Regions from separate parts of the Mus musculus genome. Here region 1 is reported to be linked to region 2. The links are microRNA targets in miRTarBase. Many come from high-throughput screens and were not tested one by one. Region 2 holds a microRNA gene; the other region holds the end of a gene's coding sequence.

Region 1 (4,403 bases), not on the chromosome of region 2:
CCTAAGGTGGGCAGATTGCTTTTTCTGCGGTCTGTCCCTGGGCCTCAAGGTCAGCTCCAGTTCAACCTGCAGGGTGCGCTTAAGGATTGGAGCAGCAACCGACTGAAGAACTTGGACTTACACTTAGAGATTCTGGTCAAAGAGGACAGATACTCCAGGGTAACTGTCCAGCCCGAGAACCCCTGTGACCGGCTGCTCCGCTCTCTCCATGCCTCGCTGCTGGTGGTAACCCTCAATCCTAAACACTGTCATCCTTCTTCCAGAAAAAGGAGGGCGGCCATCTCTGTCCCCAAGGGTTTCTGTAGGAACTTCTGCCACCGTCATCAGCTGTTCATCAACTTCCAGGACCTGGGTTGGCACAAGTGGGTCATCGCCCCTAAGGGGTTCATGGCAAATTACTGTCATGGAGAGTGCCCCTTCTCAATGACCACGTATTTAAATAGTTCCAATTATGCTTTCATGCAGGCTCTGATGCATATGGCTGACCCCAAGGTCCCCAAGGCTGTCTGTGTCCCCACCAAGCTCTCGCCCATCTCCATGCTCTATCAGGATAGTGATAAGAACGTCATTCTCCGACATTATGAAGACATGGTAGTCGATGAGTGTGGGTGTGGGTAGTCTCGGGACTAGGCTAGGAGTGTGCTTAGGGTAAATCCTTTAATAAAACTACCACCCCACCTTTGGCTTATGCTCTCTTGAATCGGACATGTCTGTCATCATGGTTCATGAGCCCCACAATTACACACATTTGTGTATGACTATGGACCCCTTGGTGAGCTTACTTAATTTGTGCTCATTATGCATAGTAGCTGGGCTTCTTGTTCTTGTTTGAAACAAGGTCTTATTATACATCTTTGCTGGCCTTGAACTCATGGCAATTCTCTTTCCTCTACCTCCTGTGTGCTGGGATTACAGCTGTGTGCCACCAGGACCAAAAAAAAAATTTTTTTTTTTGAAACAGGAAACATGGTCTCTATACCAGGCTGTCCTATAACTATGTAGACCAGGCTAACCTCAAACGCACAAGAGATCAAACTGCCTCTGCTTCCTGAATCCTAGAATTAAAGGCCTGCCCTGTACCATATTATATCCAATTGTATATCTTAAGATTTTAAAATTATTTTGAGAAAATATAACATAGAAAAATTTACGTGAGCTTTAAAAATGTTCACTTGTTTGTTTTATGTGTGGGTGCTTGTGTAAGTGCACGGTGTACATGCAGGAACCCGTGGCGGCCAGAAGAGGGAGTCAGATCCCCTGAAGTTACAGGTGATCATGCGTCTCCTCCATGTGGATGCTCAAGTGGGTCCTGCACAAGAGCAGGCAGCGCTCTTACTGCTGAGCCAGTTCTTTTTTCTGTGTAATCCTGGCAGTCCTGGAACTCACTCCGTAGACCAGGCTGGCCTCGAACTCAGAAATCTGCCTGCCTCTGCCTCCCAAGTGCTGGGATTAAAGGTGTGCGCCACCACCGTCTGGCTTCCTGGGGTTTTCTTAATAAATTTACTTCAACTGAATTATTACAGCAAGATTTTGTTAAGGTGTTTGAATAGATATTGGATTATGTGTACACGTGTTTGATACTTTCCTATCCTTTTTTTAAAGGAATTATTTATTTATTTTTTGTATATAAGTACACTGTAGCTGTCTTCAGACACACCAGAAGAGGGCATCAGATCCCATTATAGATGGTTGTAACCTACCATGTGGTTGCTGGGAATTGAACTAAGGACCTCTGGAAGAGCAGTCAGTGCTTTTAACCTCTGAGCCATCTCTCCAGCCCCCTATTTTTTAAAAAATAATTTATATATATAAATATATGTATTATAAAATTATATATAGAAATAATTCTATTTTATGTGCATTGGTGTTTTGACTGTATATATGTCTGTACAGGGTGTCAAATCCCTTGGAACAGGAGTTATAGACAGTTGTGAGCTGCCAGGTGGATGCTGGAACCTGACCCTGGGAGAGCAGCCATTGCTCTTAACCACTGAGCTGTCTTTCCAGCCCAATTCTTTCTTCTTCTAATTAGCTAGAGCTGACAGCTTGGCACAGCCCAGAGTTATTATCTCAGGGAGACTCAATGGGGAATTGCCTTGATCAGACCGGCATTCGGGTTATGTCTGAGGACATCTTATTGATGGTTGATTGATGTGAGAGGGCCCAGCCCACTCTGGGCAGTGCTACCCCTGAGCAGGTGGACCTGGGGTGTATAAGAAGAAAGCTGAGAGGCTAGAGAGATGGCTCAGTAGTTAAGAGCATGCGCTGCTCTTGCAGAAAACCAGAGTTCAGTTCCCAGCTCCCATGTACTCTAGTGCCAGTAAATCTCACACACACACACACACACACACCTAAAAATAAAATAAATAAATAAATAAAATAAGGAAGAAAAGAAGAAAGAAAAGCAGGTTGAGCAAACCATGAGGGAAAAGCCAGTATTCAGCATTTCTCCATGGTCTCTCCCCTTCAGTTTCTGCTTCCTGTTCCTCTTTTAAGTTTCTGCTCTGACTTCTCTCAGTGATGAATTGTTCTCTGGGGTGTAAGATGAAAGAAGTCCTTTCTTCTCCAGGCTGTGTTTGTTTGTTTGACACAGCAATAGTAAAGCAAAGCAGGACCTTTCTATAAAAGTTATTAAAAGGGAGGCTGGAGAGAAGGCTCAGCAGGTAAGAGGTGACTGTGGCTAAATTTTGTGCACTGGAGTTCAGAACCCAGCAACTATGTAACAAGCCTGGTGTTCTGCAAACACCTCTCACTTTGGTTCTGAGGGGTCCTACACTCTCTTCTGTACACACACACACACACACACACACACACACACACACACACATCTGGACTTTTTGTTTATGTGAGACAGGGTTTCTGTGTAGTCCTGGCCATCCTGGAATTCTCTCAGTAGGCTATGCTGGTCTTGAACTCAGAGATCCGCCTGCTTCTGCCTCCCATGTGCTGGGATTAAAGGCGTGCACCACTATCGCCTAGTTCAAAAATCATTCTTTTTATACATCTGTAATCCCAGCACTTGGGAGACAGAGGTAGGTGGAACTCTGAGTTGAGGCTAGCGTGGTCTATATAGAGAGTTATAGACAGCCAGAGCCACATAAAGAAATCTTGTCTCAAAAAGTAGGAGAAAAGAAGAAGAAAAGAAAAGAAAAGAAGAGGAGAGAAAAATAGTAAAAACCTTGTTGAAAGGATATTGGTGGGGTGGCCCACACCTTTAATCCCAGCACTCAGGAGGCAGAGGCAGGTGGAACTCTGAGTTGAGGCTAGCGTGGTCTATATAGAGAGTTATAGACAGCCAGAGCCACATAAAGAAATCTTGTCTCAAAAAGTAGGAGAAAAAAAGAAGAAAAGAAGAGAAAAATAGTAAAAACCTTGTTGAAAGGATATTGGTGTGGTGGCCCACACCTTTAATCCCAGCACTCAGGAGGCAGAGGCAGGTGGATTTCTGAGTTTGAGCCAGCCTGGTCTATAGAGTGAGTTCCAGGACAGCCAGGGCTACAGAGAAACCCTGTCTGGCGGGGTGGGGGGGGAGAAAGAAAGAAAAAAAGAAAGGAAGGAAGGAAGGAAGGAAGAAAAAAAGAAAGGAAGGAAGGAAGGAAGGAAGAAAGAAAGAAAGAAAGAAAGAAAGAAAGAAAGAAAGAAAGAAAGAAAGAAAGAAAGAAAGAAAGAAAGAGAAGGGACCAGACTGAAGCCATTTTGAATAAAACTTTCATTTTGAACAGAGGTCAAATAAGTTTAAGTTCCCAAGACCTCAGTGTTGAACTGACATCCTGTCTGGCAAGTTGAGACATGATTGCTAGGCAAGTCTCCCACCACAGTCGAATAAACCAAACAGTAGGAACAGGATGAATGTACCACAAAGACAAGTTCCTAGGGAAGACTTCTATCCCTAGATCCTAATTTGTGGGATAACTTGGCAGACTTATTTATTTATTTATTTTTAGATTTTTACACCCTAACATTTGGATACCAAACGCTAACCTACTTGAGCCCTTAAGCTGAATTAGCAGCACCTCGGACTGTTTTTCAGTCATCTGGACTCCCGGAGGTGAGCCTGTATTCTGCTTTCTGGTGGAGCCTCTCTAGGACCCAAGAAAGGAGAAAGTGGACGCAGCACTGCTCCGAGGGTCAGAGGAGGACAGGAGACGGCCCGCTTTTCACTGGTTTCCACTGAGGGAACATTTGCTTCTGGTTCTGGGCATGCTGGATTGCCCATGTCTGTCAGTCTGTGTCTGTGGTTTCATTTAGTTTGAATGTTGCTCTGTGTTTTATATCTGGAAAAACGGGCCAAAGTTCATCTGCTGGTTGTTCACCTCTTAGTATTTACCCATCTCAAGGATTTTCGGGGGGGGGTGTGGGGGGAAGCGGCCGAATCGGGACAACAACAACAATAATAATAACAA
Region 2 (4,403 bases):
GTTGAACATATTTATAAGATTCAAAAAACAACTCCACCAAACCATCAGTGAAGATTTGTTTACTTGTCTTAGCACACCATTCCATATTTACAACTGTGCAGTATTTAGGGCTCAGCGATAGGACCTCAGGCATTTTCCTTTCCCCAGCCATAGTAATTCACACCCAGTTTGAAGTCACATGCTCTTGATGTTCTCTTTGTAACAGTATTATTTCAGTTGCCTAGATGCTCCTCATTCTTTAAGTCCCAGGTTATGTGTGACTGTTTCATTAATCTCCCATGATACATACACCAGCAACCCTCACTATTTAAACTCTGTCTCTTATTTTACTTGGCTCTGTTGTATTTTTACAGCATTATTCTTCTGCAATTATCTTGTGCATTTGTTCACTTCCTTATTAACTCTCTCCCTGTCCTGCCTATTTATTCTAAATTTGATTGTAGCCAGGACTTTAGTTGTTTCCAGACAACTGCATTGCAAGAAACTTGTTCATTAAAAAAAAAAATAGGTAATTAGTCATCACATAGCTACTCCATAAAGTCTAACATTTAATTCAGGGTCATGGAACTGAAAAATAACATAAAAGTTGTTGGGAACATTTCAGGAAAAAAAAACAGCACAAAAAATATTAAAAAACAAGACCTATGAGGAAAATACGTTGATTCAGGTAAGACCAAGAACCAGTTTTACTTAACTTTTTATAATTGACAGAGATCTTTGACCTATTAAAGTCTTTTATCTTTTGAAAAAAAAATAGCAAATTTAGTTACTGATGTCCCTGTTTAATAGGTATAAACTGAGACCCAGAGATTGAACTAATTTGTACAAATTCAGAGAAATATAACATGTAATCCAGGTTTTCCTTCTTCCTATGTCCAATATTTTTTTTTCTCATAAAACCATCTATCTACAGGATCACTAACCAGAGTAGGGAATTTAGTTTGGATGTAGTGAACAATGACCTTTTCTATTTGAGTTTATAAATTTTTATGTTATCTCAGGAGGTTCTCAAATATCAACCTTTATTTGTGGTAGCTATTTGTTTTCTTTATATGGTTTGAAAGAGTATGTAGTGCAATGGTAGAGGGTGACAGATTGCTAATCTATTGGTTCTTCAATTTCCAATATTCCATAATTCTTTGGTTAAGTTTTCCACTTTGCCAACTAATATTTCAAATATACTTAATATTTTTTAACTTAACAAGCTGATGACCCCTTAACAACTATTGAACTACATATCACAAGCATATTAGTCTCTAGGATGTGCTCATTGCATGGGCTGTGTAGATTTTTATTTAATACACAGAACATGCAGTGAGAACTTGATAGAGATTGGAAGACATCCAGAAGAATAAACCACGAATTCTTATAGGATAACTTTGTATTTGGTACAGATTAATTAACTAACCATCCATTTAAAGGTTTTTACTAATCCTGTCTCCAAACACCACAACCTAGATTCAAAAACACACTACTTGAACTTCCATATTGATTCTATTTTTATTTGTTACTTGATATTCTTCTTTACATAGATTGTTAAAATTTCACACAGAGTCAAAGTTAGCTTTTTAGTAGAATTATAAACAATAATTCAGATGCTAGAGAAATGGCTTAGCAGTTAGGAGTACTTGTTGCTCTGGCAGAGGACCAAGGTTCAATTCCCAGCACCCAAAATTTGGTTTACAAGTGTTTTTTAACTCCACCTTCAGTGAATCTAACACCCTCTGATGGCCTCCTTGGGCACTGCATGCATGTGGTGCACTTATATACGCAGGCAAAGCATTCACATGCATCAAAGTAAAAGAAAGACAATTTCCTCAAATATCCCATTGATTCAACAACATAAAACTTTTGTTTCAAATATATTATGACCATGTGTCAAAAATTACATTGATGACACATTAGATGCAGATGTTTTACATTATTAATGGGATATTAATAAATATGTCACCTGATGCTCACCTCATTCTTACATTTGAAACTTATTATTGAAAATATTCTGAATAGATATATGTCATTCATTTTAAATAGAAGACTTTTCTAGAGTAGTAGAATGATTTAGCTTGATTTGAAAGCATAGCAATCCTTGCACATTTAATACTTATAATTAAAACGTACTTGTTCTTGTTTTGGCATCTCCTTGTTTATGTAAGGAAGCAAAGCCAAACTAAATATGTATTAAAAAGTCTAATTGAAGAGCCAGAATAAAACACATTATAGGTCAGAAACACAACAGCTCTATATTTAGATACAACTAAGAACAAAGTAGAGATAAAAGGAGGTTTATAAAGAAAATGATTTAGTAATTACTTTTTAGAAATATTGAAACTTCTATGTCATATTGAAAAATATGGTCGAACTTTTTAAAGACAATGTCAGGATACATAGAACACGTTATATTTCTTCATGCCTGGCATATAGCAGGTCCTCAATAAGTATTTGTTGAAAAAATAAATGAAGCAACAAATCTTATTTGAGCACCTGTTATGTGGAGGATAAAAAACTACAAACCAAACAGAGCTTGTGATCTTATATGGGAGAGAATGAATATAAGGTAAATGTACAAATGACTATCATTTTTGAAACTGTAATAATATCAAATACATCTTTTAAAAAGATCACAGATGCGCAGTTCATGTCCCATTATCAAAGAATTTAGAGACTTGAACCTGGGACTTATATGAAGTATGGGAGCAAAAGCATTTCTTGTAGAAATTTAAGTATTTATAAAAAGGAATACTAAATCAGTAATCTTACAAGGGTCAATAAATTAAAATAGAACTTCCTGGATCACCATAAAACCTTTTCATAACCATTTTTCTTAATGTCTTCAGCATATTACATTAACATAGTATGAAATAATGTGAGTTCCTTAAAGGCTTTGTGCCTCTTAGTTCTTTTTTACTTACATGTATTATCTATCATTTATAATAAAACTTATCCAAAAGGTTTTTATCCATTATTTATAGTAAATCGTATCCAGAATGTTTTTAAGTACCTTGTCCATCATTTTACTACTTTTCAGGTTTAATTTCTAGCCAGTTACTTGAAAGTAATTTGAATATGAAAATAGCATTTGTTGTTTCTAATTTTAAAATTCCACTGGAGATAGGACAATAGATAATGTATTTTAACCGAACACCTTTCCTGAGAAGATCAAGGAATAAAATGTTTTACATTTGAATTGCTCCTATGACATCTTTGTAAGGTATAGCTGTTATTGTTGATTTTATCGGACTAGAGGTATACATTAGGAAAAACAAATTGGTTAGTCTACTTTATGAATGATGTAAAGACCACTTTGAATATAAACTAGTATTGTTATCAATTTTCATGAAGGATGCCCTCAATCTCTTTTTCTATTTATTTGTTGATTTTTCTACTGAGAGTTTTGCTGTTGGTTTGGTTGGTTGATTGAGATTGTTTGTAACAAGATACCCAATAGCCTAGTCTGGTCTTAAACTGACTATGAAGCAGAAGATGACCCAGAAATTCTGGTCCTCCTGCTTAAAGGTATGCACCACAATATCTGGCTCCACAACAGTCTCATTTATGAGACAGGAACTAGATATACCTGCCCTTCTCTTCATTTTCCTCCTTTAATTTCTCCTCGCTTTTTCCTTTCATTTTCATTCTATGTACAAAAATTATGCAGATGTTATTCACTGTTCTGTATTCAATTACTTATACATACATGGGCTTGAGTGGTAATCCATATAGATAAAATGTTTGATGAATGATTTAGTAATCATCTGTTTTAGAAATATGGACTTATTTAAATGCACTGTGACTCTTAAAAACAAACTAGGTGGATCCACTGGGACTGCAATCCATAACTCTGCAGTTTGATTGGCTGAATTTTTTTGTAATGATCTTCATGTGTTGTAAGAAGTTTATTTGATGAAGGGTGAGGACTGCACTTATCTGTGCACATAAGGACAAATGTTTAGAATTTAATTAGAGACTATACTGACTTACTAAACTGATTGTTGTAGGTTATCCGCCAAGATTCATGACTTCACTGGCTAAGACTTGGCTAAGTTTCCCGTATTACGCATGGTCTATCAGTAACATGTTACAAATGGAGCAGGAACAGTTTATACACACACACACACACACACACACACACACACACACACACACACACACACACATATATATATATATATGAATGTGAAGAGATGAAGAAAGGATATATAGGGAGGTATGAAAGGAGAAAAGCTAAGGGAGAAATGATGCAACTTTATTATAATTTCAAAAAGAAAAGAAAATCATGGAAGAAAATCACCAGAAGAAGATAAATGTGAGTTCTGAATATTGAATACTAAAAAAATTCAAATTGCTTTTATGTCATTCAATTTTTAAATATTCATATTACTACTCTACCCTATCTTCATAAGAGT

What was found. The annotated mature microRNA mmu-miR-1264-5p reads AGGUCCUCAAUAAGUAUUUGUU and lies in region 2 at 2,423-2,444, shown strand. An mRNA with a match to its seed (bases 2 to 7 or 8) in the 3' UTR can be bound and repressed. Matches are read on the target gene's strand: a 7mer-m8 pairs with bases 2 to 8, a 7mer-A1 pairs with bases 2 to 7 and ends in A, and an 8mer does both.
Region 1: miRTarBase lists Gdf3 as a target of mmu-miR-1264-5p. Seed matches in the 3' UTR shown: 7mer-A1 at 928-934.

Annotation. Positions count from the first base shown.
Region 1 is chr6:122,602,521-122,606,923 of GRCm38, reverse strand. It overlaps Gdf3 (growth differentiation factor 3), which reads left to right. Exons shown (of 2, transcript NM_008108.5): 2 at 1-1,521. The coding sequence ends at 618. It also overlaps a transcript of Apobec1 not described here. Among named protein-coding and RNA genes, the nearest start is that of Apobec1, 2.3 kb to the right of the region's middle.
Region 2 is chrX:147,008,192-147,012,594 of GRCm38, forward strand. It overlaps Mir1264 (microRNA 1264), which reads left to right and starts at 2,410; the gene lies at 2,410-2,495. The region is part of intron 2 of Htr2c (5-hydroxytryptamine (serotonin) receptor 2C); the gene reads left to right. Mir1912 (microRNA 1912) reads left to right here and starts at 1,250; the gene lies at 1,250-1,336.